7 separate regions of the Mus musculus genome follow, and all the other regions are reported to be linked to region 1. The links are microRNA targets in miRTarBase. Many come from high-throughput screens and were not tested one by one. Region 1 holds a microRNA gene; each other region holds the end of a gene's coding sequence.
What was found. The annotated mature microRNA mmu-miR-363-5p reads CAGGUGGAACACGAUGCAAUUU and lies in region 1 at 1,581-1,602, shown strand. An mRNA with a match to its seed (bases 2 to 7 or 8) in the 3' UTR can be bound and repressed. Matches are read on the target gene's strand: a 7mer-m8 pairs with bases 2 to 8, a 7mer-A1 pairs with bases 2 to 7 and ends in A, and an 8mer does both.

Region 2: the mRNA of Aco1 is a reported target of mmu-miR-363-5p. Seed matches in the 3' UTR shown: 7mer-m8 at 2,013-2,019.
Region 3: the mRNA of Tnfrsf26 is a reported target of mmu-miR-363-5p. Seed matches in the 3' UTR shown: 7mer-m8 at 2,804-2,810.
Region 4: miRTarBase lists Tspan31 as a target of mmu-miR-363-5p. Seed matches in the 3' UTR shown: 7mer-m8 at 575-581 and 7mer-A1 at 923-929.
Region 5: miRTarBase lists Git2 as a target of mmu-miR-363-5p. Seed matches in the 3' UTR shown: 7mer-m8 at 2,457-2,463.
Region 6: the mRNA of Ufd1 is a reported target of mmu-miR-363-5p. Seed matches in the 3' UTR shown: 7mer-m8 at 2,807-2,813.
Region 7: miRTarBase lists Fam219b as a target of mmu-miR-363-5p. Seed matches in the 3' UTR shown: 7mer-m8 at 1,491-1,497.

What each region holds. Positions count from the first base shown.
Region 1 is chrX:52,739,276-52,743,341 of GRCm38, reverse strand. It overlaps Mir363 (microRNA 363), which reads left to right and starts at 1,575; the gene lies at 1,575-1,649. Mir92-2 (microRNA 92-2) reads left to right here and starts at 1,414; the gene lies at 1,414-1,504. Mir19b-2 (microRNA 19b-2) reads left to right here and starts at 1,276; the gene lies at 1,276-1,359. It overlaps Mir20b (microRNA 20b), which reads left to right and starts at 1,150; the gene lies at 1,150-1,229. It also overlaps Mir18b, Mir106a and Kis2.
Region 2 is chr4:40,196,910-40,200,975 of GRCm38, reverse strand. Aco1 (aconitase 1) reads right to left here. Exons shown (of 21, transcript NM_007386.2): 21 at 1,967-3,422. The coding sequence ends at 3,309. Among named protein-coding and RNA genes, the nearest start is that of Ddx58, 41 kb to the left of the region's middle.
Region 3 is chr7:143,606,384-143,610,449 of GRCm38, forward strand. Tnfrsf26 (tumor necrosis factor receptor superfamily, member 26) reads right to left here. Exons shown (of 8, transcript NM_175649.5): 8 at 1,302-3,677. The coding sequence ends at 3,661. Among named protein-coding and RNA genes, the nearest start is that of Gm15579, 8.3 kb to the left of the region's middle.
Region 4 is chr10:127,064,380-127,068,445 of GRCm38, reverse strand. It overlaps Tspan31 (tetraspanin 31), which reads left to right. Exons shown (of 6, transcript NM_025982.4): 5 at 64-177; 6 at 256-1,156. The coding sequence ends at 330. It overlaps Cdk4 (cyclin-dependent kinase 4), which reads right to left. Exons shown (of 8, transcript NM_009870.4): 2 at 3,993-4,066; 3 at 3,726-3,861; 4 at 3,444-3,611; 5 at 3,182-3,291; 6 at 2,443-2,493; 7 at 2,210-2,345; 8 at 1,158-1,517. The coding sequence ends at 1,425. Among named protein-coding and RNA genes, the nearest start is that of Cdk4, 2.9 kb to the right of the region's middle.
Region 5 is chr5:114,726,369-114,730,434 of GRCm38, forward strand. It overlaps Git2 (GIT ArfGAP 2), which reads right to left. Exons shown (of 20, transcript NM_001347400.1): 20 at 1,043-4,026. The coding sequence ends at 3,814. Among named protein-coding and RNA genes, the nearest start is that of Mir7028, 8.9 kb to the left of the region's middle.
Region 6 is chr16:18,833,684-18,837,749 of GRCm38, reverse strand. It overlaps Ufd1 (ubiquitin recognition factor in ER-associated degradation 1), which reads right to left. Exons shown (of 12, transcript NM_011672.4): 12 at 2,489-3,514. The coding sequence ends at 3,440. 2510002D24Rik (RIKEN cDNA 2510002D24 gene) reads right to left here and starts at 1,170. Exons shown (of 3, transcript NM_001033164.2): 1 at 1,131-1,170; 2 at 877-1,044. The coding sequence starts at 1,154.
Region 7 is chr9:57,540,556-57,544,621 of GRCm38, forward strand. Fam219b (family with sequence similarity 219, member B) reads left to right here. Exons shown (of 5, transcript NM_001166364.1): 5 at 100-2,632. The coding sequence ends at 264. Mpi (mannose phosphate isomerase) reads right to left here. Exons shown (of 8, transcript NM_025837.2): 8 at 3,713-4,066. Among named protein-coding and RNA genes, the nearest start is that of Fam219b, 5.1 kb to the left of the region's middle.

The sequences.
Region 1 (4,066 bases):
CCCTCAGACTGTCCTCTGCAGCATTTTCCTGGGTAAGATACACACTTGGAAATGAGAGAGGTTTTTCCTGTGGAAGATAATGACATGAAGCCAAAGAGCTAATCTGACTTCTTTAGGTTTAATGGAGAAAATGGGTCCATAAATGTTTAAACAGAAGTAGAGCCCTTTGAAATAGATGAAAATGTGACATCTCTAGGCCATCTGTGCGGTATGTGAAGAGTGTAAAACTGTTTCTTAAAGCGGCTCTGAAATTTCTATCATTTTCTCTTAATGGGCTGGGGGCAGGGATGCTTCATGTAATCAAACATAGAGACCTTCCGAGTGGCTCCCCAAAGCTCTGGATGAGCTCAAGACGTCAGTACTCACCCTAATGTTATTTATTTATTTTTTTGCTTACATCTTTTCCTGGGCTCTTGCCTCTTAGAAAACCATGGTGGATATTACAGCTCTGCAAATTTTCTGGGATGCGAATCTCAAATTTCCTTAGACGGAGAGGGAGTCCAAAATCCTCTTACTCTTAAGAGTCAGACATTCTGAGATTGCCAGTGTTATTCATGTTTAAGTCTGTGTAAATAATTGAGCTTATTAATGTTTGAAGTAACACAACCCCATTTGCACTCTTAACGGAAGGCAAACTTGTTTTAGAAATAGTAACTCACAGTTCACTTACTTGCTGTGTGTGTGTGTGTGTGTTTATCCAGGTGAGTCTGCAGATCTGGCAAAGAAGAGTTCGTGGAAGACTTCAAGGTTACACTCCTGGAGTATGCCTTGGCCATGTCAAAGTGCTAACAGTGCAGGTAGCTTTTTGAGTTCTACTGCAGTGCCAGCACTTCTTACATTACCATGGTGATTTAATCAGAGGCCGCTGAGTCCCCTGGTTTCTGCATAGTTAGATTGTGGATGTTTTTGAGCTGCTCCTTGTAATGTGTCTCTTGTGTTAAGGTGCATCTAGTGCTGTTAGTGAAGCAGCTTACAATCTACTGCCCTAAATGCCCCTTCTCGCACAGGCTACTTCTTACCTTGCATTTGAAAAGCATATCTTGAGAAATGATTTGAACGGCACAAGTTTCAAAGGCTCTTTCAGTGTTTCGCCGAGAAACAGATGGCGGAGACTGTAGTATACAGTTGTGTAGAAGAACAAGCTCGGATCCTAGTAGTGCCAAAGTGCTCATAGTGCAGGTAGTTTTTATACCACTCTACTGCAGTGTGAGCACTTCTAGTACTCCTGGATCAACCAAGGTCTTGTTGAAGCAACTACAGCGCAAGGACATTGCTACTTACGATTAGTTTTGCAGATTTGCAGTTCAGCGTATATGTGAATATATGGCTGTGCAAATCCATGCAAAACTGATTGTGGGAATGTGTACCTTTCTGCATCGTAATGGACACCTTTATGCACATCTTCAGCATCCATGCCCATTCATCCACAGGTGGGGATTGGTGGCATTACTTGTGTTAGATATAAAGTATTGCACTTGTCCCGGCCTGAGGAAGAAAGAGGGTTTTTAATCGTCTTTTAGTTTCTGAGTATTGTAAGTTATGTTAGACTGTAATTATGAAATGAACTGTTTTGCTGTTATCAGGTGGAACACGATGCAATTTTGGTTGGTGTAATAGGAGGAAAATTGCACGGTATCCATCTGTAAACCGCAGGACCTATGTGGACAGCCGTCTATCAGTGCTATAGTAAGATTGTAAAATCCTTTAGCTAGTCATTGCTTTGAACACATTTGGAGTGGATTTTTTTTTTTTTTTTTTGGTTTTTCAAGACAGAGTTTCTCTGTATAGCCCTGGCTGTCCTGGAACTCACTCAGGGTGGCCTCGAACTCAGAAATCTGCCTGCCTCTGCCTCCCAAGTGCTGGGATCAAAGGCGTGCGCCACCACGCCCAGCTTGGAGTCTAATTTTTTAAAACTACATATTTTTAAATATATTTGAAATCCTGACATTTTGATTGCACTGAATGTAAACAAACCTGAAATTTGCAAAATAAAGCTGATATATAAGTCTGAAAAAAAATGGGTTTCTTTTTTCTTTTTTAAAAGATTCTATTTATTTATTTATTTATTTATTTATTATATGACAAGTACACTGTAGCTGTCTCCATAGACACCAGAAGGTGGCATCAGACCCCATTCCAGATGGTTGTGAGCCACCATGTGGTTGCTGGGATTTGAACTCAGTACCGCTGGAAGAGCAGTCAGTGCTCTTAACCACTGAGCCATCTCTCCAGCCTGGGGCTCTCTTTTTTTTCTCTCTTTTTTTTTATTAGGTATTTTCCTCGTTTACATTTCCAATGCTATCCCAAAAGTCCCCCATACCCACCCACCCCCACTCCCCTACCCACCCACTCCCCCTTTTTGGCCCTGGCGTTCCCCTGTACTGGGGCATATAAAGTTTGCAAGTCCAAAGGGCCTCTCTTTCCAGTGATGGCTGACTAGGCCATCTTTTGATACATATGCAGCTAGAGACAAGAGCTCCGGGGTACTGGTTAGTTCATATTGTTGTTCCACCTATAGGGTTGCAGATCCCTTTAGCTCCTTGGGTACTTTCTCTAGCTCCTCCATTGGGGACCCTGTGATCCATCCAATAGCTGACTGTGATCATCCACTTCTGTGTTTGCTAGGCCCCAGCATAGTCTCACAAGAGACAGCTATATCTGGGTCCTTTCAGGAAAATCTTGCTAGTGTATGCAATGGTGTCAGCGTTTGGAAGCTGATTATGGGATGGATCCCTGGATATGGCAATGGCTCTCTTTTTAAATTAGCAATACTATTGGCTTTTCTAAAATAGCGTCTTGGTATGTAGCTCTGGTTAGCTTGGAACTCAATTTGTAAACTAGGCTAGCCTTGAACTTGCGGAGATCTGTGTGTTTCTGCTTCTAGAATGCTGAGATTAAAGGTAGGCACCCCTCCACTCCTAGACTTCCAGCATTTACATACATTTATCTATCTATCTATCTATCTATCTATCTATCTATCTATCTATCTATCTATCTACTTATTTAGTGTGTGTGTCATGTGGTGATTTGAGAACAACTGTAGGGAGCTAGTCATGTGGGTCATGGACATACATCTTAGATTTCTTAGGCCCGATGGCAAGTGCCCTTCCCCCACTGAGCTGAAAACAAATTTTATAGGGTATGTCTTGAAGGAACATTTGAATATAACTGGAATTTAAGTTTGCGTTGAGTCTTTGGTTTTATCACTACTGAAAACCCTGCCAGTCCCATCTCCAGAGAGTGACTGTCATCAGGTGAGCCCTCAGGATTTGCCTTTGTAACCCAGTCTCAGGTGCTGATGGTGCTCGCCCAAAGAACTATAGGTTAAAAAAAAAAAAACGCCCGGTTCTATTTTAAGTTTCAAATTCATAAAGTTGAAAGGACTCAGGCACATTTTTTACCCCACTTTCTCATTCTGTTTCATGTGTTAATGTTAACACTGCCCTGTCTTTGGTAAGTGGAAAAACTAGGTAGGTATGTGTTGGTTTTACCTATCTGAACATTGAGTTCTCATCAGAAGGGAGAGGTATCACTATGTGTCATTCTTTGTGCCTTGGAATTTCCCAACTTTGAAAGCCTTTTATTACTTTTTGGGGACCTCATTACATAGGTTCAATTTAGTTAGAATTTTTTTACTGAATTATACTTCACCTTTGAGCTAGTTCCCTAAGCTTCCATTTCATTAGGGAAAATACAGTGATAACATTGGTCCTACACCAGTGAGGTGGGGCTTCTGTTCTCCTTGGGAGGTGAAGAGTGGTCAAGAACATGGATTTTAACTGCTGTGATGACATGAAATCTTAATGAAAAGAGATGGAGGCTAGTAAATTCTCTATTAAGTATGTAGGATTTTCTTAAGTCACTAATGTTTGAAGTAATTACAGAAACAAAATAATGAGATACTTCCTGTGCTATGACTTAGTATTTTATTGGTGCCTAATTGTAGTTAAGTTTGATGTGGTAGCAAAGACCTCCTTCCCTTCTAATAAAGTAGATTTAAAAAGTGGGGATTAAAGCTTATTTGTTATAATCTTTAGTACTACTAGGGGTCTGCTTTAATACAAGT
Region 2 (4,066 bases), not on the chromosome of region 1:
GAGTTATTAGGTGCACAGTATACAAACAAGTTAAGCATGGTGTTTAAAATACAAAATGTCGGAGGAAGAGCAAGTTTTCATATGTGCGCCCAGCTTTTAAAACAGCCTGCGGTATCACTGGACTCCTGAGGCTCACTGCAATCACAACTCCAAACCTCCACTAGACAGACAGGAGACTCCACCAAAGAACATCACCGCGCATACAAGGGGCCAAGAGGGACATCCACAGCCACGTGGAAGTGAGTCCTCACCTACCCGTAACAGGAGACATTTTAGAGATGTGCAAAAAATGTGTAAATACTATGCTCCTGAACAACTAATGAGCCATACGGGGGCTTAAGAAAATTAAATTCCATACAAAAAAAAATTAAAGTTATTAACATGTCTGCGCTAACACCATGATCTGCAGATGCCGTGCAATCCTAGGAAATTCCCAATGCTGTATTTTCCCAAAAAGCAAAAGCTTCCTTACTATGTACACAGATCCACAAGATTCCCAACAGCCAAAGATATGCCAAGAAGGAAAACAAAACTGAAATTATTACCGTTATCAAGCTTCAAAATATATTACAAAGACACAGCAATGAAAACAGCATTCTGCTAACCTAAGAAGAGATGCAGAACCCAATGGGAAACAACAGAGGCCGCAGAAGTAGACCTACACCGGCGTGGCTAGGACTTGACAAGGAAGCCAAGACACCCAGTGAATGGAGAAGAGCTGTCTTCAATAAATGCTGTTGGAAAAACTGGATGTCCACATGCAAAGGAACGAAGCTGGACCCTTATCTCACACTATATGAAAAGCAACTCAAAACAGATTGAAGACTTAAGCATAAGACCTCACTCCAAGAAAGGATTAGATAAATGCAAGAAATGCTATGGCGCTATTTATAGTTACGTCTTCAGCAACGAAAAGGAAAACGGGCCCACCAGACTGCTTCCAAATAAAAGTTTTCTAGCCGTGTAAATAGTCAAGGGTTAAGACTGACTACAAAATAGGAGAAAATAGTTGATAAATACTTACTATCTAGGATAGGTGGTATTAAAATTCAACAACAAAATGAAATAACTCAATTAAAAATGGGCAATGGACTTGAACAGACGTTTTTCAAAACAAGTCACAAAAGTGATTGATACATACATGAAAATATACTCAACATCACTAATCATCAGGGAGTTGCATATAAAACCATAGTTAAAACCATATCAAAAAAAATCAAGGTTTGCACTGTTGAGAGTACGGGAGAGGGGATGCACACACAGTAGGAGGTCATATACAGGTACATGTAACAGGAAAACAGTATGGAGCCCTCCAGAAAGTCACAAAGGCCACTCTTATGACCCAGGAATTCCACTTCTAGGTATGCACCCAAAGGCATCAAGCCAGTCTGTTGAGGAACACCTGCAGCATCATTCATCTCAGTGCTACTCACAAAGCTAGGGTAGCGTCTGCCCGGTTGTCTACCCACGGCTGAATCAGTAAAGACAACAAAGGGCACACGCCTGTACACACAGATACACTACTTGTGGCAACAGGGATGAACTTTATGGACATTGTGTTAAATGAAAAAGGCCATGCACAAAAGGAAGACAACAGCACAATCTCACTATGTCTAAATGTTCACGGCAGTAGTTACGGGGGCGGAGAGGACGTCATAGCTAAGGAGGCAGTGAAGGGTCAGCTATGAAATGAATGGAGAAAATAGTACAAGCCATACGTGAAAACATGGAAGAACGTGGGATTTCATTCAGGAGGAAGAAGCAGTACAGCACAGAGATTGCTGTTGAAATCTATACATCCTATATTCTTCGAAAAATATATTCTTGGAAGTATTCTCACCACAAGAAGTAAGAATGTGAGGCTCAATTCAGCCACTCCATGATGTTTACATAGTAAAAAATCATGTACGAAGTAAATACAATTTTTACTTTTTAGTTAAAAAAAAAAAGAGAGAGACACAGTCTAGCGGTGGTGGCGCACACCTTTAATCCAGCACTTGGGAGGCAGAGGCAGGTGGATTTCTGAGTTCAAGGCCAGCCTGGCTGACAGAGTGAGTTCCAGGACAGCCAGGGCTATACAGAGAAACCCTGTCTCGAAAAAAACCAAACAACAACAGCAACAACAACATCAACAACAAAAAAGAAGAAAGAAAGAAAGAAAAAAAGAAAAAGAAAAGAAGGAAAGAAAAGATAAAACGTTAAGAGAGACAAAGCAACCCCTCCCCCAGCGGAATGTTTACTCCATCACAGGCACTGGGTGGTCTGGACAAGGCTCAGGGTTTGGGTCACTCACAGCTCAGTTCTCAGTTCTGGTTCTTACTCAGGCATTTTGCTACAGCAGCCTGAGCAGAATAAGGCACACCCTAAAATAATTCCAGTTATGAAGATCAGTGAAGAGATTTTAGGGCACCAAGAAGTTGCGATATGCTCTTTGCTGCTGCTGTGACCAAGACAGAAGGTGCTTTCTTGTCCTTTGCGCTGACACTAGCTGCTCACACGCTGGCTCCACAGTGTTCCCTCTGTGCCCGCAGCTCAGACGCAGGGGTACAAACAGCAGACTCGAAGGACTCGAAGGACTTCCGGGGCTCTCAGTGTCGCGACATTCCCCCGACAGAACTCAACTCCAAAGCCAACACGTTTTCATGAAAATATATTTAATCTTATTCAAATTAGAAATCCCGTATCTCTCCCCAGTTATTTTCAAACAAAGGACCCCTGTCAACAATCGTTGAAAATGGTAAGAGGCAATCTCATGTTGATTGAAAGGTAGATAATCAAACACTTTTGACGGGTGACCTATCTACAAGGACTTGTTCACTTCAAAGGAAGGGATCCCATCGCTGCTATGAATCTGAAGTGTGAAGAAGGTCTATGCTATGTCAGTTAACACTGGTGTAATACACGGAGGACTGGGCTCTCCAGGGAAGGGTGTCACCGAGCAGAGACAAACACAGAACAACAGAAAGGGTAGGAGCCACTTCTGAGAATACTGGCTAGTGCTGAGCTCAAGATTAGTCAGAGGGAAAAAAATCAATGTCCGTGACTTTAAAGAGAAGCGAGTTCTCTTTGGTACTACGGACCTTCCCGTGATTCTAGAATCCAGATTACAGAAAGGGATAAAAAGATGAACAAATCACAAAACTAGAGACTCCTGGCTCTGTGCCTCCAGGAATGGCAGTGCCCACTTGCTCATCCTGCCAGCACCCTCATCAGAAGTAGATGTGGCTGCTCTGCCAGGCCTCCACCAGTGGGGGCCTGGTTCCTCATTGGGTCTAGCACCAAGTGCGGGTCTCCTGAGAGGTCAGCACCTACTGGGCCATCTTTCGGATCATGTAGTTCAGGATGCCTCCATTGTGGAAGTACGTGAGCTCCACATCAGTGTCGAACCTCATCACGGCCTGGAAGGTCTTCCCAGTGTCCAGCTGCAAGAGCAAAGAGGCAGAGCGCTGCTGAAGGCGGGGCTGAACCGAGACTCCCACCTCAGGGAGACTCCGCCTGGCTTGGCTGCCCACTGGCCTCAGTTGGGGCGTGGTATATGCCCACAGTGCCAGCAGCGGATGGAACCAGTGGTCTCTGCACCCAACAAGAACCCTGGGAATTTATGTGCCCACCAGAGGTTGAGGAGCATTGCAGAATTAATGACACAGGTGTAGCACATGAGAACAAAGTGTCCTCTCAGGGCAGCAGCTATGAGTGACACTGTGACGCTTTGCCCTAAGTCTTTTCTGGACATGCTCTGGGCAGCAGAGGTCTCTGGGGTTGTTCCTTAAGCAGCTGATCCAGCTGCTTGCCTTGGGTCATCCTGGGACCTCAGCAGCTGTCTCTGCAGTGTCAAATCCCCTTGGGACTTTGGCAGAGGGCACTTTACTCTCGCCTCTCCTGACGATGTGTCATTACCTCGACATGGGTTACTTTTCTGTTGCTGTGAGAAAACACCATGACCAAAGCAACTTATGGTTCTCAGACTCCATCATGGTGGGAGCCACAGCTGCAGGAGGAAGATGAGCACTCGAGGGAACTGCAACTGTAAGTCTCCGAACTCTCCAACTCGGCCCCCAGTAACACA
Region 3 (4,066 bases), not on the chromosome of region 1:
AAAGCAGGGAAAGTGTGTTTGGGCTCACAGTTTATTTACACCTTAATTAACTGGATCTAGAAATTTCCTGAGAGGTATGCCTGTAGTCACCTCCTGGGCGACTCTAGATCATTGTGGGAAGCCACATGTGCCATTGCAGGGTGGCGCTGGTTACCGCTGGCCACCACGCATACATAGGCAGTAAAGTTTTTTTTGCCAAGATGAGGTTTTGAGAGTTAACCAATCAGATGAGAGACAAGTTAACCAATCAGATGAGAGACAAGTTAACCAATCAGATGAGAAAGAAGTTAACCAATCAGATGAGAGACATGTTAACCAATCAGATGTGAGACATGCAAATGAGGTGGTAAGCATAACCCATGCATAACCAATCCGGGTGTGAGACACGCCTCTCCTAGGCCTATATAAGCAGCACCAGTTCTGGGATTAGGGTCTCTTCGCCTCTGCAATCAAGCTCTCCCAATGTGCAGAAGGATCCTGTTGCAGCGTCGTTCTTGCTGGCGAGCCAGGGCATGCACAAGAGATCATGTTGTACTGAAAACCATAATTAACCCTCAGGGGGCTAGATGGATGACTCAGTGGAACCTGGGTTCAATTACTGGTATCCATGTAGCTTATAACCAGTTATAATTCCAGCTCCAGAGTTTCCAAGGCTTTCTTATGGCTTGCATGGCACCAGGCATGGATGTGGTACATAGGCACATGCAGGGCAAAACCCCTTGTCCTGGTTAGTTGTTTTTTGTTTTGTTTTGTTTTGTTAACTTGCCAAAAGCTTGAGTTATCTCAACATTTCAACCATATTTGAAAAATTGCCTCCATAAGACAATAGGCAAGCCTGTGGGACCTTTTATTTTTTGAGACAGGGTCTCTCTAGTCTCTGTTCTGGGACTTATATGTAGACCAGAATGGCCTAGAACTCATACAGATCTGCCTGCTTTCCATTTGGAGATTAAAGATTTGGGCCATCACACTTGGCTACATTTTGTTGAAAAAATGATTGATGTGGGAGGGCCCAGCCCACTGTGGGTGGTGTCACCCCCTGGGCAGGTGGTTCTGAGGTATGCAAGAAAGCAGGCTGAGAAAGCCATAAGGAGCAAGTCTTCCTCTGTGGTCTCTGCTTCAGTTCCAGCCTCCAGGTTCCTGCTTGAATTCCTGCCCTGACTTTACTTCGTGATGGACTACAAGGTGTACAACGAAACAAACTCTTTCCCCCAGGCTGCTTTTGGTCTTAGTGTCTGCCACAGCAATAGAAACCTAACTAAAACACATCATTACATATCAAGTAAAATGTTTTTTAATTAAGAATCAACCATCACATAATACAAAGAAAAAGGAAATGGTCAAAGCACATACTGTGATATTGTACAACTTTGAGCAGAAGCACCACCTTGGTAGCATTAATATTTCAAAAAGCTCAAAGCACACAAACGGGTCTTGGGGCCTGACATCATCCCTAGTCCTGAAGTAGAAGCAAAAACACAGCTTTCAAAAGGAATTAGAAATACTTTATTTCGTACCCAAATTTCAGTGACCATGGCCCTAGAAGCATAGATTTAGGTACCCCAATTTCATGGCTCCATGGAGTTTTGTAGAACAGAACAAAAAGTTATAAAGTAAGGCGTTCTTCAGACACACTAGAGGAAGGGTTAAACGTTACAGCACAGTGATAATCTCAGCTCTGGCTTCAGATATATGACAGCATTCACAGTACTTGGACTGGTGGAGAATAGTTTTATCAAGTGAATAGTTCTATAGTGTTGGTTAGTTTGGTTTGGTTTGGTTTGGTTTGGTTTGGTTTGGTTTAAATCTGTTGTCAGGATGTTTGGGGATCTCTGCAAACACCAAGGCTGGCAGCCTAATGATCCATTTGAGGCCAAAAGGAAATCCAGTTCAACACAACTTAGCCTATGCTAGGTCAAACTTCTAGAGTCTGACCCCAGCAGTTTACTTTAGCTGTATTTAAGCACAGCACAAATTTCCGGGGGAAGTTTTTTGATGATAATTAACTCGGTCACTTATGTACAATAATGCTTAAGACAGGTTGACATTGACACAGTTTACAAAGTACTTATGGCCTCTTCCGTAAAGACGGGATCTGTTAGCTTGGCATGGTGATGCACAACTTCAATCCCAGCACTTGGGAGGCAGAGGCAGGTAGATTCCTGAGTTTGAGGCCAGACCGGTCTACAGAGTGAGTTCCAGGACATCTGGGGCTACACCAAGAAAACAAACCAACCAAACAAACAAAACAAGATAAGTTTGGCAGAGGTAGAGGTCTATTGACTCACAAACAGTGCTGGAGATACAGGTCTAAGAAGAAAAAATCTGGGATAAACACATATAAAAATCGGTGGCAGTCAAGAGTGGCCTGGCCCTACAGGTAGCACAGAGGTCCCCTAGGCTTTTCTAATATACAAGTGACAGTGACATCTCCTATAAGGATGAGATTTATTGAGCAACAGTATTCAAGAAAAGGGCCTATTGGCAGGCAAAAGGCCTATGGAGGAAGAGTCTGGGATAAACAAAGACAATAGTCTGTTCAAGTGTGTGCTAGGTCTACAAATAGCACAGAACACCAGGATGTTAACTATATCCATTCCCAGACATCTGGGTGGAAAACAGGTCTACTTCTCTGTGAGCACAAGAACCTTGTGCCCTCTACAGCATGTTAGTTCTGACCCAGAGGGAGGCAAGACATTGCTTAGGTTGGAACAGCCTAAGCTATGCCTCTCTACATCATTAAAATGTTAAGCCAGGCAGTGATGGTGTATGCCTTTAATCCCAGCACTCAGGAGGTAGAGGCAGGTGGATCTCTGTGAGTTCCAGGTCAGCTTAGCCTACAAAGGGAGATCCAGGATAGCCAAGGCTACATAGAGAAATCCTATCTTATTAAAAACCAAAAATAAAATAAAATAATAATAAATTAATCAATTAACTTATGTAGACATAGCTTCTGAGAAATTCCCATTCACACCTCCATCTGCTCACTGTGGGTTGAGAGGACTAAAGACTAAGGCTAGTTCTGAGATGCCTGGGGGATGGAGAGCCTAAAAACACAGACACTATTCCCAGTGTCTGATGTGGCAAAGTCCACAGTTGCTCAGGCTGGCCTGCCAGGGGCTTTGTTATGGGTTTTTATGGATAACAAAGCACCTTGTCTGGGCCACATCCTGATGTGGGCTCAAAGGACAACATTTTTGGGTCCTCCCATCCTTGCCTTCTAGGAAAACATACTGAGCACCATGAACCCAAACTGACTTTAGCTTACGAGTTCACAGCACAAAACCTCCTAACTCTGAGGCCAGCCAAGGCAGGCTTCAAGGAGAGAAGCCCTCTGGCTGCATACAGAGAGAAACCCTCTGGTCTTCACAAGAGAGAAGGGCACATCATATATCTGGGGGTCCACGGGGTATGCAGTGGGATGAATGTCAGCTCCAAATTCAGATGGGCTATTTGGAATGTTTCAGTCCTGTATCAAAGGACACTTGACTCTAGCTCGAGGGTGAAGCAAACACAATTTTTAGCAGCTAAGTTGCCACAGTTTGCAAATACATTCCTGCAAGGTCAGTCTCCAGTTTAGAAACAATAGTGTTCATTGCTTCCTCGACTTCCTTAAATCCAGTGATCTTCAGGAATGCCATCTGCTTACTTTCCGGAGCTTCATAGCATAGTGGAGGCTGGAAAATAAAACACAAAGTGAACACACACACACACAACCAAGGGTCGGTCTATTTATATCTCTTGAATGTTGAGGAGGAAAGTTGCAGTGGTTCTGTGATTCTGCTTCTCAGGATAGGAGAGGCTCTTTGTGTCCTCAAGTAATACCCAGTGGTCAGGAGACCCAGGCTGGGACAGGGCTGATCAAGACTGTCACTAACCTATTATCCATCTGTTACTCAGGTGGCAGAAAGCAGCGAAGCCTGACATGGAAAGAACTAATGGTGTCTAATGGAAGCCTAATGGAAAGAACTTCTGGTGTCTTCTAGGAAGGCCAGAGGCTCCGGGTGAATAGTTTATGGAGGTTGACCTTGCCCTTCCTTATCCTAATGAAGCCTCCAGCATTCAG
Region 4 (4,066 bases), not on the chromosome of region 1:
ACTACAGCTTTTTGGACAGGGCAGGTGAGCAACTTTGAATTCTCTATATATGTCTGTTACCAGGTGTGCAAAACTAAGAGCTCTACATGCCAGATGTGTGGGGAGAGGTTCCTTAAACATTCAGACAAAGCCCTCAAGATCCTAGGAGGTGTTGGGCTCTTCTTTAGTTTCACAGAGGTAATGACTCCTCATGTACACACTCAAGCCTTCAACCCCATGGTCCAGAAATAACCTTTCTCTCTTCCTCTCCCGTAGATCCTTGGTGTTTGGCTAGCAATGAGATTCCGGAATCAAAAGGACCCTCGAGCCAACCCCAGTGCCTTCCTATGAGACTTTTGACCTCCCAGATAGCATCTCTGCAGCCTAGGCTGTTTCTAGCTAGCTCTGTATCCAAGGAAGACCTTGAATTCCAGACCCTCCTGCCTCAGCCTCCTGCTGGCATCACCACACTCAGCCAGCCCCTGGATCCTTCTGACTTGGCTTTGCCATTTTTTTGTTTTTTGAGACAGGGTTTCTCTGTATGGCCCTGGCTGTCCTGGAACTGTGTAAACTAGGCTGGCCTCAAACTCAGAAATCCACCTGCCTCTGCCTCCCAAGTGCTGGGATTAAAGGCGTACACCACCACTGCCTGGCCTTGCCATCTTTACAAACACCTAGGGGTGGCCCTATGGTTTTGTTTTAGAGAAAAGAGGTCCCTTACCTCACCCCCAAGAACTGGTGGTTGGACTTATGTCTGTTTTGATGGGAACACGATTATGGATGAGGGGAGGTAGGCCTCGGGCCCTAGGAGGGTAACTGCACCCCCCCCCCAAGACCCTTGGCTTCAAGGACAGAGTCAGAACACCAAGAGAAAACCAGTTATAACCCAGGGCCTCACAAGTGCTCGGCAAGCATTTCTACCAATCAGTTGTCATTCCCAGCCCCACCTACAGTCTCATCAAAGCAGGACCAGTGAACTTAGAAACTAAAGCCATTTTGACCGAATATTCAAAGAAAGCATTTCTCTCTGATCTTGCCAGCCAAAGAGCTGGACTGCCTGCCTAGGTCCTTGCAGGGAACTTGTTTTCGTGTTTTTTTTTTGTTTGTTTGTTTTGTTTTCCCCAAGTCTCCCAGTGGCAAAGCCAATTGGAAAAAACATTAAAGAAAAATAAAGACCATACTCTTTGTCTTGTCTTGTTTTCCTGTATAAAAAAGATCCCAGTATAAATCAGGGAGGGAAGAAGACAGATACACCTGCCCTTTAGTGTAGAGCTAGGGGAGGGTAATGGGGGTGAACCTCGTAAGGAGAGGTGGGGACTTGTTATTTAAGGCTTAAAATATTCTCTGTAAAAAACTGGAGGATTCTCCACAGCCTTGGGGGGAAACAGAGGCTGCCGCTTCAGCGAGGGTTTCTCCACCAAGACTGGGAAAGGCAGCCCCTCTTCTCACTCTGCGTCGCTTTCCTCCTTGTGCAGGTAGGAGTGCTGCAGGGCTCGGAAGGCAGAGATTCGCTTATGTGGGTTAAAGGTCAGCATTTCCTAAAGGGAGAGGACAAAGGTCAGAAAACAGCTCAGGAGCCGATGCTGATGCCCACCCAACATGGCTGTTTCCTTTGTCCCACTCTGGCTGGCCATTCCCAACAGCAGTGACAACTACAGCCTGCCCACAGCTACATCTTAGCTTCAGGCTGGTCTGGGCCCGTCTGTTTCATCTCTGCGTGCACGTGCTCATGTGTGAAATGCGGGCACGCACATGTGCGTGTATACATGCAGAGGTCAAGAGTCTGGGCTGCCAGTCCTTGCCTTCCATCTCATTGGAGACTCTGTCAGCGCTGTATTACCAGGGATCTGTCCATCTCGCCCCGAGTGGCACTACAGGACTGGAGAGATGGCTCAGCAGCTAAGAGCACTGACCACTATTCCAGAGCTCCTGAGTCAATTCCCAGCAACCACATGGTGGCTTACAACCATCTGTAATGGGATCTGATGCCCTCTTCTGGTTGTGTCTGAAGATAGCTACAGTGTACTCACATACATAAAATAAATAAATCTTTAAAAATAAATAAATAAATAAAAAAGGAGTAGCACCATAGAAGCACACAACTTCTATATGAGTTCTGGGGATTTGAACTCAGGTCCTCACACTTATGCAAAGGAACTCTACCCACTGAGCCAGTTCCCCAGGCCACGGTATTTCTTATCTTAACCCAATCCCCGCCCAGGTCCAGTACCAGTAGCAGCTGCGCTCCAGACTCCTCCATCTCTGGCACCACTGACTGCACTGGCCGAGGCCCTCTGGGGGCAAAGGCTCCTCGAGGTAGAGATACCTCTCGAGGCCAGTCGTCTTCTGGAGGCAATCCAATGAGACTGTGGGGACAGGACAACTCTGTTAGGAGGGGCCTTTCCCAGCTCCTGTCTCCGCGGCAGCAGGAAATGTCTTTCCTTTTCCTTATCAAATACTTACTCAAAGATTTTCCCCAACTGGTCGGCTTCAGAGTTTCCACAGAAGAGAGGCCTAAGGCAGAAAAAGACTCAAAGTATGTGTTATATCAAAAATAGGGGAGTGGGGGCTGGAGAGACGGCTCAGCAGATAAGACTGCTCTTCCGGAGGTCCTGAGTTCAATTCCCAGCAACCACACGGTGGTTCACAACCATCTGTAATGTAATCTGAAGTCCTTTTCTGGTGTGTCTGAAGACAGTGAGTGTACTCACATACATGGAAATAAATACATTTTTAAAAGAAAAAAAAAATTGAGGAGTAACCGTTATGTAGACCCAACTAGAGAGTGTGGAGACGAGGAACGGGAAGATCCTAAATCCAGGGCATGCCTATATGGTTTCTTGGTTCTAGGCAAGGTGGTCAGTATGAACTGGGTAGGCTGGATGTCCCGTACCATACATGCACAAAAGCGAATGGTCAAGAACAGGCATGTCTGTAAAAGACTTGGGGGCCGACGGAGTGTGAAGTTCAGTGGCACGGAAGCATTTACTGAGTGTGTGTGAGTTCTGATTTCAACCTCTAGCACAGTAAGACAAGCAGCCAAAGCTATGTGCAACTGAAGGTAGGTTAAGAGCTTCAAGTCCCATACGGGCGGTGGTAACGCATGCCTTTAATCCCAGGGCTCTGTGAGTTCAAGGCCAACCTGATCTACGGCCAGGACTAACCCTGTACCATTAACAACAAAAAGTTTCTAGTCCCATACTTCCGACGGAACATCTCTGCAAAGATACAGCCAACGCTCCACATGTCCACGGGTGTTGCGTATGTAGACTGCAGAAGAACTTCAGGAGCTCGGTACCAGAGCGTAACCACCTGAAGAGAATAGTAGAAATGAGTGAGTGTCGACCTCACGAACCAGACCTGCCTGGCTCTGAAAACTTCATGTACAAGACTCCTCAGTTGCTATGGGAAACCACCAAGAGCTACCCCTATCACAACCTAGTCGGCTAACGCCTTTTACTGACCACAGGCGTGAGGGCCATCTGGTAGCTGTAGATTCTAGCTAGGCCAAAGTCAGCCAGCTTGACGGTCCCATTACTTGTCACTAGAATGTTCTCTGGCTTCAGGTCCCGGTGAACAATGCAGTTTGCATGAAGAAAATCCAGGCCGCTTAGAAACTGACGCATTAGATCCTGTTTTTCAAGAAGAAAGCACAGAACACCGGAAACTATGTATCACTTCAAAATCCCAACAACTTCTATTGCAAAGATCGGTCCACCCTCGCCCCCAGCCCCACCCCTACTCACCTTAATGGTCTCAACCGGCAGGCCCGGTGGAGGTGCTTTGTCCAGGTATGTCCTCAGGTCCTGGTCTATATGCTCAAACACTAGGGTGACCTTGATGTCCCGATCAGTTCGGGAAGTAGCACAGACATCCATCAGCCTGAGAAGAACAAATGATCACCAGCTAGTCGTCCCCTTTGTCTCAACGTGGCCTCTGGCGTTCTAGGGTCCCACTCCTGCCTTACGGGTCCTATTGTCCTCTCCGCCCCACTCCCAATCCAACCTTCTCACCGTACAACATTGGGATGTTCAAAGGCCTCCAGCCTCCTTAACAAGGCCACCTCACGAACTGTGCTGACGGGAAG
Region 5 (4,066 bases), not on the chromosome of region 1:
ACTGCCTGTTGGGAAGGAGGGCGCATGTGCGGGGCCAGCCTGGGCCGACCTAAAAATGACTGGGGTAAGCTTACCGGGTTAGATGGATACATGGGTGAAGAGCTGGGCATGGTGGCACATGCTTGTAATCCCAGTGTTCAGGAAGCAGAGGCAGGGGGATGACAGCTCAAGGTGCGCCTAAGCTACATGAGACCCTGCCTCAAATACAAAACAAAACAGGCTACAGAGAACATAGGAAGGAGACTGAGCCAAGACCATGTCTCCTTAAACCATGTCTCCTTACAGATCAGCCACATGGGAGCTTGCCCCCACTGTTGCAGAAAGTATTTAATCTTGGTCTGAGGTTTCTACCCTGACTTTGTTGTTTAGGTTCCTGGATGAAAGACACAAACAACCCTCATATTCACCATAACCTTAAACAGTATGAAAGTCAGGCCGTTGTCTACCCATCTATGCTGTTAGGATCTATTTCCTACTGACAACCCCAAGTTATTACTATATTTCATCTGGGCTGTTATTTTTGTTTGTTTGTTTTCGAGACAGGGTTTCTCTGTGTAGCCCTGGCTGTCCTGGAACTCACTCTATAGACCAGGCTGGCCTCCAACTCAGAAATCTACCTGCCCCTGCCTCTCAAGTGCTGGGGTCAAAGGCATGCGCCACCACTGCCCGGCTATCTGGGCTGCTCTTAACTCCAATTGGCCAGCCCACGGAGCCATTTTTTTTTCCTCCTAACCCATGGCTGCTCTCATTCCCCCTCCTGCTGCCTTCTTTTCCTCATGGTCCTCCTCCAACCCCAAGCCCTCGAAACCCAAACTTCACCTATGTCTCTTCTGCCCCGTTATTGGAATCTCTATTTTCCAATCAGAGTTAACATGGGGACAGGGTCACCTAATGTCTTCAGTGGGGACTCTCTTGTCTCTGGGACAACCAGGTTTTGGGAGCCCGCACTTAGCTTTACAATAGATAACAAAAGACCAAATCTCAACCCCCCAGCCCACCTAGTCTGGAAATATCCACCAACTAGAGGGGGCACATGACCACACACTTAAAGAGACGATTTATTGCATAACCAGTGGGGCACAGATTCCAGAAGGATTTTACAGGCAGGGACAGTAACTTCAGGATGCTGAGAAGCCACCAGAGGAGGAGGAGCGAGGGGGCTTAACACCAGGTATGCAATGCTCTTTTCTCTATGCTGCACTTTGCTTTGTAAGAGCGTGGGTGATAGCCAGCTAGGACAAAGAAGGAAAGGAAACTGCACTGCGAGCCCACCGAAGCTGTGGAGGATGAAAACACGCGGCTTTCAGGCTGCATTCCATGATGGAAGTCACTGAGGTCAGGGCAGAGCCCCTGCGCTGTGCCGTTAAGAGTCCCGAGTGCACGCAACACTGGACTTCGTCTTTGGCAAGTAAAGACCGTGGTGCTGAGGCCACAGTGCCTTCCGGGAACGGAGCTTGAGGCAGGGCCTGCTCCATTAATTGTGTCTTCATCCTCTCCATCTTAGAAAGTGGGGTACACAGGTGGGAAGGCAGAATCCCAGAGAGGGGAGAGAGCAGCCAGATTGGATGCAGAGCTCACTCCTGCGAGGCGATGAGACCCACGTGCAAAAAACCCAAAAACGGCCAGGGCGAGCTTTGAGACAAAACGCATTTGCCCACAGGAACAGTATGCTCTAACCCCAGCCAGGTCTCAGGAGGGACTGTGTGGGGCCCCTCCTGCTGTCTCCTCAGGCCTCCACACAGGGCCTTCAGCCTGAGGAGGACATGGGACTGACTGGTGTTCTTGAGAGCGTCTGGAAATGCTGTACTGGCCCCGTGTTCTTTGATTTCTCAAGGACAGCATTCTTCTTCGTGACTTAACGGGACTGCACCACTCCACCTCTAACAGTTCTCTTCCCGGAAGCTTCCAACAGAGGCCTGCTCTCTCTGGGGATGGTGGGAACCAGCTCAGGCTGGAACCAGCTCCAGGGAGCCTGCCAGGAAGAGCAGTCATCCTTGGAGCACGCAGAAAAGCTTGTCAGAGAGGATGCCTGAGCTCACACTGGCCGGCCCCTTTCTAAAAGGCCCTGCTGGACATCCTCCAGCACTTAGGCTTGTGTGTATCGATGAGTGGGCAGGCCCCTGGAGCGCTGAGCCTTTCCTCCGAGCTGTGAGCCTCACGTTGAGGTGATGCTGTCTCCAGGATGCATTGGCCATGTTGTAAGAGGGACTATGAGGCAGGCTCAGCATACTGAGGTCACCTCACTTTGGTCGTTCTATGGGAGACTGATGCTGCCTTCCAGGGCTGGCTGACAGGTTCACTCATGTGCAGGTTACAGACCCCAGCGGAGGCTGAGATGGGCAGCCTGTTCAGTGGGCATGTCTGGATTGACTGTCCACATTTCTGATTAGAAAAATGTCATGAAGCCTGGCGGTGGTGGCGTACGCCTTTAATCCCAGCACTCAGGAGGCAGAGGCAGGTGGATTTCTGAGTTCCAGGACAGCCTGGTCTACAAAGTGAGTTCCACGACAGCCAGGGCTACACAGAGAAACCTTGTCTCGAAAAACCAAAAAAAAAAAAAAGAAAAGAAAAGAAAAGAAAAATGTCAAGAAATAACTCAAACTTCTGGTTCCTTGAAAAACCAAAGCACTGGCAGCCACAGGCTACTTTTCTACAGCTGCATGAGGGGTATGAGTGGGACAAGCTGCTGTCCTCACAGGCTGGGTGGGGTCCCTAGCCGCCCTTGGCTGTCTGTGCACCTGGCTGGCAACATAGCCACTGCCTGCTCCCTCAGGTCAGGGCCAGAGCTCCACCCAGGCAGAAGCGATCGACAAAGTGCCTTCAGCACAGCGAGCGCCAGTGCTGCGGTGGCCTGGGTGTCAACCTCTGCCCTTGGGGAGCTGTGGGGGAGCTGCCACCAGCTAGGGCACACGGGGAACTCTTCGTGCAGCGCCACAGGAGTTCTAATCATGAACTACCCGTGAGGGGATGGGGACACGGAGGCCCTGCGTCTTACCTGGGAAGACATCCTTCCAGAGGAGCCGTGTGGAGGATGTCAGCAGCACGGCCTGTGAAACTGACTCAGGGTTCTAAGTAAACTGTCTGGCTTGGCGGGGAAGCAGGCCCCTGACAGTGGGCGGTGCTCCTGCTCTGAATGTGGCCGACTGGAAGCTGATGTAAAGGGTGGATTTCTAACTACTTTTTTGGACATTATGGAGACATCAGCATGATGGTAAAATCTTTATAGATAGAAAATCAAGATAAAAATATTAAATAAGACAACACTTAACATGATACAAGAGTTAGAAATGGATCCGCTCCTTGTCACTCCCAAGAGATGCGCTCTCTCTAGGAAGTGGGAAGCTCTGCTCCTCGTGCACATGGAGAGACCCCACAGGATGGAAGGGAAGCTTCCTGATTGACTGCACGATGCTTGGAAGGGACGGATGCTGCTGCTGCTGCTGGGGTTTTTGTTTTTGTTTTTAAATCCAACTTTCTTATCTCTTAAGAAAATGTTTTACTAAAAATATCAATTATAGCTTTAGGCATGGGTAGAGATTGTAAAGGACAGGAAAGTTGTAACACACTTGGAACAATGACTTTTGAACACATGGGGTCATGACCTAAGCACTTGGTGACAATCTGACAGGACAGAACTAAGTTGCAAATAGGCACAAATAAGGCAAGGGTTAAATTACAGTCAAAAATCTGTTAGAAAACATGCAAAAAATAATACTGAGCTTTCTTTTAAAAAGTCTGAAATCATCATTAAATGTTTTGTAAAAATCTGAAGAGTTCGTGTATAGTCTATGGGCAGGCAGACAGCACCCGAGCTCAGCTGCTGTTCTCTTTGGTGGTGATTGTGACCAGCTGTTTGGCGGCCTTGGCGATGTCATAGGCACACTGGATGACCTGCTGTGTGACCAGCTGCACATCTGTGGGTAAGCTGGAGTCTCCTGGGAGAGCCTTTCTGCACTCCGACTGGAGCCGGTAGGCACTGGACGTGAGTAGGCGGAGGGAAGTCCTCACCGTGTCAGACTTGGGTTTCTGAAATGAAAGCAGAGCCGTCTGCTGGGGGCTGCAGGGT
Region 6 (4,066 bases), not on the chromosome of region 1:
TAAGAATAAAAGTACTTTAAAAACTATATAGAAGCCTAGTGGTTGTGGCACACGCTTTTAATCCCAGAATTCAGGAGGCAGAGGCAGACGGAACTCTGAGTTCAAAACCAGCCTGGTCTACAGTGAGTTCCAGGACAGCCAGGGCTATACAGAAAAACCCTGTCTCAATCACAACAACAAAAAAAAATAAATAAAAAAAAATAAAAATAAAATAAAGAAATAATTGCTTCTGTGTTCTGAGTTTCCCGGTGAATTGCTTCTCCATGACCCTGGCCATTTCTCTATTCAGAAACATCTTTGTTTCTTACACTAATTTATGATAGCTGACATATAGTTACAGACAGTTAAGTTTCCAGTCTTTTGCTTTCCGCCATGTTTTTTACTTTCGCCATGTCTACATGGCTATCTAGAGTAAGTAGAGGTTTCTTCACATCTCCCTCGAAAAGGTCCAGCAACAGCCTCCATACTTGTCTCTGTCCTCTACAGTACCCTTCACACTCTCAGGTCCAGACTGACCTGCCAAAGATAACTCAATTCACAAGTACTGGAACATTTTTAGGTGCTCTTGGACTCATTCTTATGCCCTCTATAGCCCACCCTCGTGCTCCAGACACGTTGGCTTTTCTCTTCCTCCGTCCTATCCCCAAGGGCTGGGTGAAGGCAAGCTTGCTGTCAAGCTGATGACTCTAACGCTATAAGGTTACTCTCTCCAAGCCTCTCTATACTTCCCTTCCTTCTGCGCCCCCCTCCCCGCGCCGCCCCACCCCGTAACTGAGGCTGTCTAAAGTCTCGTTGATAACGCAGTTTGGTACTCAGGAGAGAAACACGAGAGAGTTGCCCCAAGGATCTGCGCATACATCCACACCCAGCCCGCACCTGGGCCTCGGCGCTGCGGCTCTCCTCCCACTCGCGGCAGTTAGTCAGGTCGCGGAGCCACTGCCTGCAATCCGGCCGCTTGCCGTGGACGTAGTAGTGGTGTAGGACGTGCCCGACGCTGCGGCAGAGCTCCCACTCGGCGCGGTAGACCTCGCACGGCCGGGGAGGCTGCGGGGAGAGACAGCGGAGAGCGCGGGCAGCCCCCAGGGCCTGATCCCACCCAGCCCAGGAGCCCAGGAGCCAAGCACACTCACCTGCCAGCTCCCTGCGACCGCCATGTCCAGGCCCCGTGTGACTGACAGGGACATGAACCAATGAGCTCCAAGCAAACGCGCACTAAACAGGACGTCTGCACTGAGTGGCTGATAGTCAGAGGCCACACTACCTGGTGTCTAGCCGATGGCTTGGCTTCAAAGTCACATAAGGTATTAATTAGCATTCGGAAAAAACAGGAGTTCTGGTCAGTTCTCCCAGTTTTTTATTTTTCAAATCCGTATGTGGTTCAGTTTTTGAAGTACAGACTCTTGAACTCTTGAGTAACCCACCTGGCGGACTGAAATTGCAGGTATGTAGCCTGAGCATACACAGAGTGTAGGTGAGCTTGATTTGGTGTATGGAGAGGAGGAAGGCAGTGCAGGATGACTAAGGGTGAAAGAAGTTCTCCTAGAAGTGACAGGCTCAGGGTTGCACACCTTTAATCCCAGCATTCAGGAAACAAGAGCAGGGACATCTCAGTGAGTCAGTTCTAGACCAGAAAGGAATATATATATATATATATATATATATATATATATATATTAGTGAGACCCTGTCTCAAAAAGGAAACAAACCCAACAACAAAAACAATTTAAAAAAAAAAAAAAAAACCTAACTGGAGATCATAAGGTGAGATGACTCAGCTGTAGAGAAACTTGTGAACAGAACCAAGGACCCGAGTTTGATCCCTCCTAGTTTGATCCTTCTAGGCGACAGAAGGGACTCCTGAGCACTGTACTCTTATCTACACATGCAGTCACATTTTTATTAGTGCACTTGTGTGTATAACTATGTATGTGCAACACATATACTTAGATCATCTGGAACTGGAGTTACAGTTATAATTACAGGCTATGAGCCACCATGTGAGTGCTGGGAAGCAAACCTGGATCCTCTGCACGAACAAGTGCTTAACTGAGCTCTTTCCAGCCTGACCAAGTTAGCTAACAGAATCCTACAAATGAAAGCTGTCTTACTGCTAGGGAAACTGAGACAGCCCCATAGGACAGGTCGGGCAGGTTACCACAGCATTTATGCCTTCCAGAGCCACATTTGGCCAGTAATGATGTATGTGCCAGAGTTAGGAGCCAATTAAGTTTATGGATATTTCTAAGAGCAAATGGACACACTCTGGAACTACAAACATAGAGGGAAAGTGCACCCTCCATGAGGACCTTGCTAGGCCTGACCAGCTCCACTCCAAGCATCAGGGAGTGACATCCATCCCTACAGCCTCCACAAGTCTCGGAAATAGTCTCTAACGACAGGATGAAGTAGGGTGCTGCTGCAAGGGGGCCTTCCTATGACTTCTGGCTAGTGGCCCATACCACCAATCTACAACATACCATATCAAACTAGAGGCGAGTTTTAATCAGTTTATTTAATTCTTCAATAAGAATTATTCTCAGGGAACAAATTTTAAATAGCTGGATCAGCATGTCAAAAGACCTTACATCATACAAAGTGCAGATCTGAAGACAATAAAACAGTAAGAAAATGGGGTATGGGGGAGCCTCAGTGGCAGAGTGTGTGGCATGCTTAATATTCACGAGGTTCTGGTTCAATCCTAGCACTTGAAAAACAGACAAACCATCAGAACCTTGGGTAATAAATGTAGCGGAGGGCGGGCAGTGGTGGCGCACACCTTTAATCCCAGCACTTGGGAGGCAGAGGCAGGTGGATTTTTGAGTTCAAGGCCAGCCTAGTCTACAAAGTGAGTTCCAGGACAGCCAGGGAACTCTGTCTTGAAAAGCCACAAAAATAAATAAAAATAATAATAAAAAATAAATGTAACGGGGGCACGTTACTCAAGCATGTATTCATTCTGCCTTTCATATCTGGCTTCATCATGGAATTCACTGAGAGCGAGCAGATTAAAATGAGAGCGCTTTCATCTGGATGAGATCCCTTCTGAGTCACTGTAAATAAAAACAGAGGCCATCTTTGTCTGGTACTCAAGTGCTGGCCTGAGTAGCCATGATGGGCTAAAGACACTGCACCATGAACAGACATGGGGAAGAAGAGTGAGTCAGGAATCGGGAGCTGCTCTGCTGAGGCTGTGAGGGCCCTGAAGCTGGAGTTAGGGAGTGGAGGAGGCCACCACCTAGAGGACCCCAGCGCTCTCTCCCCCAGATCAAGCACACAACCTCCAAGTTCTGCTGCTTTGTATCCAGGACAAGCTTGATAGTTCTCAGGTAACTTTAAACAAACCATAAATAACAGAGTATCTCTGAACTTGTCAGAGCCAGTAACTGTAAGCCAGGTGCAATCGGATCTTTTATTTTCCAGTCAGCCAACAGTTTTAGACTTAGGGCTTTCTTCCCTTCTTACGCAGTGACTGTCCTTCTCCAGAGAAAGCAATGAATCTGCCTCCAGCTTCATCCTAGGTATGAAAATAGGATATTATTTTCAGAAACTCCTCAAAGTTTACAATAACCACTTTATTCCATGGACTTGTGTGCCATCCATCTACTTTCCCCACTTCATTAATCATAATAAGAAGTGCCCTGGGGGGGGCTGAAGAGATGCCTCAGGGGTTAAAAGTGTGTGCTGCTCTTTCAGAGGACCCAGTTCAGTCTCCAGCACCCATGCTGGGCAGCTCACAATTGCCTCCAACTCCAAGGGATCTGACTCCCTCTTCGGGGCTGCCAGGGCACCTGCACACACAGGGCAAACACACACACATAAATAAAATAAGCATCAAATGTCCCTGCATTTATGGCATTGAGAACCCCACAGATGATAGCTGTGTGAGTCCACCACCACCTTTGTGTTTAGATTTACTGTACAACCTCTCCACAACTTATGGAGGCAGTTATGTCTTAAGAAGCCATTTTCAGCTGAAGTTATCATTAAGTTGGAAAGACATTTCATACACCTCCCTTCCAAATACCCCAACTCAATTACAAACCACACGGCAGTGTTCTGGTAGTCT
Region 7 (4,066 bases), not on the chromosome of region 1:
TGTGCAGAGGCCTGGGGCTAGGTAGAGCAGGGACCTGCCTTTAGGCAGCAGCTCTGTATGCCTCGCATCCTGTTTTACACTTCTGTCCTCTTCCTTTAGCAGGTGAACCAGGATGTGAGCCGGCAGCTGCTGCAGGATGGATATCACCTGGATGAGATTCCAGATGATGAGGACCTGGACCTCATTCCTCCTAAGCCTATTGCTTCTTCCGCGTGTTCTTGCTGCTGGTGCTGCCTTGGGGATTCTTCCTGTACCCTCCAGTAGCCATAGCCCTCCAGGATGGGCCGATGGCCCCAATGGCCCTTCACAGTGATACTCAGTGCACTGGGTATCACCGCCAGCCTAGAACCACTGGAGGCATTGACCTCTGGGGAGGCCAGTGGCCTACAGGAGCCCTCACCTGGTGCTTCTCATGTCAGAGGCCCCCGTCTGGGTCATAGGTGATAGGTGGAAGTCGGCAGGTTCCCACTGGGGCAGTTTCAGGAAGCCACTTTAATAAGGGAGGAGAAACTTCCTGAGGTTCTTATGCTGATTGCTAAGAAAACCATTTACAGACATTCTGACTCCTCCTGAGGAGGGAGAAGAAAGAACGAACTCCTTCACTCAGGCTGTGCTGGGGGTATGGTGAGAGGCAGAGAGCAGCACTTTATGGCTTGCAGGAGGAATCTCAAAGAATACAGCTGGGAAGCGCCAAGTGGGTTGTTCCTTAGGTTACAGCAAGGAATCTAACTTAATGATGGAGTGGGCCTGTGGCTTTCAGAACCTCTGAACTTGGACCATTCTGCTGGCCCTGCTGTCTGGATGGGCTTAGTAACTCTGTTGGCCCTTCCCCTGTTACAAGAGAACTGCTCTGTTGTATATGTTTATTTATCTGTAGTTCCTTGGCATTGGAGAGTTTCTCCGACTTTTTTTTTTTTTTTTGAGGTAAAAATTGGATTGGCAGGAATCTGCAGTTTTTGTTATTACCAGCAGAGGGAGCTGCTGGGAAGTTAGTGCCTTCCTATGTTTAGCTGTGTAAGCTTTTGAGAAGTATTGATGGATGAGAGGTGTCCTGGTGTAGCTGTGTGACTCTGGCCTACATGGAAATGTTTAGACAGGATGGGAAGGGGAGACTTAAGCCAGCTCCTGGACCCCACTTGAGTTGATGAATCTGCAGTGCAAGGAGGCCTTCCCTCTAACAAGGCACATTTCTCTCCCCAGCACAGGGCTCACAGGCTGGTAGAGCACTTGCCTAGCCTGTGCAAGGCTAGGGCTGATGCACAAAACAAAACAAAAAAAAAAGCCTCTGGGAGAACACAGCTAAGCCCCAAGCCTGAGACTCAGTACTAAGCCTCTTCCTGGAATCTAGTTTTCCCAGTCCCCCTCTGCCCGGGTCCTCCTCTTTGGGGTTTTTTTTTTTTTTTTGGTTTTTCGAGACAGGGTTTCTCTGTGTAGCCCCCTGGCTGTCCTGGAACTTACTCTGTAGACCAGGCTGACCTTGAACTCAGAAATCCACCTGCCCCTGCCTCCCAAGTGCTGGGATTAAAGGCGTGCGCCACCACTGCCTGGCCTCTTTGCTTTATCTTACCCAGGTGTGTGGTGAGGCTTGGGGTAGATACGGTTCCCAGCATAAGGGGCGGCAATAGTCAGAGTTAGGGGTTGGGCACCACATGTGACTGTCCGTCCAGTGATTACTGGAGGCTTAGGAGAAATGATATGCCTGCTATGTCCTTTCATAGGTAGTAGCAAAAAAGGTAAGATCAAAAGATAAGGCTTTCCCTATTACTTGGCCACAAATCTGTTCTCATGATTGTTGCCAGTGCCTAGCAGGGGGTTTTGTTGTTGCTCTCAGGCTGTGGAAGGCTGAAAAGAGTATACTATGTCTAGGGGCTTTTTACTCGACTGCTTGGCAGCATCACAAGAAGGAAGATGGGACAGAAGCCAGAGGCACATCTACTTGGTTCTTGGGTTGGGTCATAGATGCTGCCTGGGCTCTACAGTGGGAGTCTGCAACTCTGTGCAAGGATCTCATTCTGAGCACTTTATGTATGGCCTGCAGGGAAGGAACACAGACCATATCCAGGCTTCTAGGGCTCTGCAGAGGTGGAGTCCTCATGTGCAGAGGGAACAGAGATAGTACAGAGTAGAGAAAGACTTGGTGGTAGGGCTCAGTGAGGCCACAAGGGCTTGTGGAACTTAAGTGTGGAGTTCTATTTCTGTTTGGTTAAAACAGAGTAGCCTGGACATTTGGCAGCTCCTGGGGGTGGGCAGTGCCCAAGAAACCACACTCTCTGGGGTAGTTGTACTTGGCTAGAACTGTCCCTGGAAGGAAAGTTGTCGAGCTAGGTGGCCTCGTGTGGAAAAGCATTACTTGTGGAAAAAGCTCAGTAGTGTCCAGCTAGGAGGGATAGAAATGGGCAGCTGTTAGGGGACAGACAAAAATAACACCAATAAAGGCACAGAGGTGCTCACACCCTAACTGCCTTAATTCCAAGGGCTGGGTGTTCTGCGGGAGGCTGTCCCTGGGAAGGAGGGCGTCTGAGCCTCCTCAGGAGTGCCTGTGCCTCCCCCACGTTTGTTTACACTGCCCCTCAGTCCTCTTTCTTGCCTTGCACTTTCATAGTCTGTTATAATAAATGCAGTCCTGGTAGTGAGCTGTACTGTGCTGCAGTGGGTGGCTTGGTTTGGTTTGGTTGGTTTGATACAGTTTTTCTGTGTAACCTTAGCTATCCTGGAACTCACTCAAACTTAGACCAGGCTGACCTCAAATTTAAGAGATCCACCTACCTCTGCCTCCCAAGTGCTGGGATTAAAAGCCAGCTTTGGTTTTTTAATCTTATGTGGGGGGGGGGGGTACACTTAAGTGTGTGTGTACTACATGTATGCAGGTGCAAGAGTCCATAGAAGTCAGAACAGGCGTCAAATCTCTTAGAACTGGAGTTACAATTGTGAGCCACCACATGGGAACTGGGAATGAAACCTGGGTACTCTGCAAAGACAGCAAGTACTTTTTAACTGCTGAATTGTGTCTCCAGCCCCCAATACATAGCACTAGCCTGAGCTGTCTGATAACCTCAACAATACATAAAGGGGCTACGAAGATGGCTCAGTTGTTAAAGTGCTTACCATGCAAGTATGAGGACCTGAGTTCAAATCCCTGAGCCCTCACCCCAAGCACCCAAATAAGAAGCCAAAAGTAGTGGCACACACCTGTAATCCCAGTTCTGAGGAGGTCAAGATGAAGGACCACTGAGACCTGCTAGTTAGTCAGTCTAGCTGAACTGGTGAGTTCCAGGCACCAGTGAGAGACCCTGTCTCAAAAAAAGGTGATGGTTCTTGAGGAGTAACACGCAGGTGCATGTATGTGCACATACATGCCATGTGCACATACATGCCATGTGCACATACATACCATGTGCACATACATACCATGTGCAAACACCAGGGGCCATTAGGAAGCAGAAGCAGAGCTCCAAAGCCAACCTTTGGAACATGAAGACAGTCTCAGAAAAAGTCAACTACAGGAGCAGAAGGCCTCCCTGCAAGCTGTCCAACTGAGGCTGGAGCTGGCTTCCTCTCCCACCCCTTCCTGTAAAAGCATTCTGGAATCCAGCCTGCCCACCCCCACGAAGCTGTATGAAGAATTCAAACCAAACCTGGACATCATCAGAGAGCTCCTTCCTCCCACATCAGGGACAGGCATACCAAAGGCTGACTGCTCTTCACTCTGTATCCTCAACACAAGTGATCTTTAATTACTTTGACGGAGCTAGAGGGAATACGCTTCATTAGTCCACTGGCCTACCCCTTCCCTTCCTTCCCTTCCCTTCCCTTCCCTTCTCTGCAGCTGAGAGCATGCTGAGCTAATGCTGGGGGATGCATGCTTTGTTAGCCTAACACCTCAGCTAGGGCAGAGTGGTTGCCTCTTTGGTGGACACACTGGCTCAGAGGTAACAGTGTTGAGAGGGTACAGAAGAGTGGCAGGCCTCAGGCTTCATGCATACAGAAACCTTGTCCTGAAGATGGTCCAGCCTGGGCATGCTCCTGGAGTTACTAATGCCAAATTTACTGCTTCTAATCCAGTATA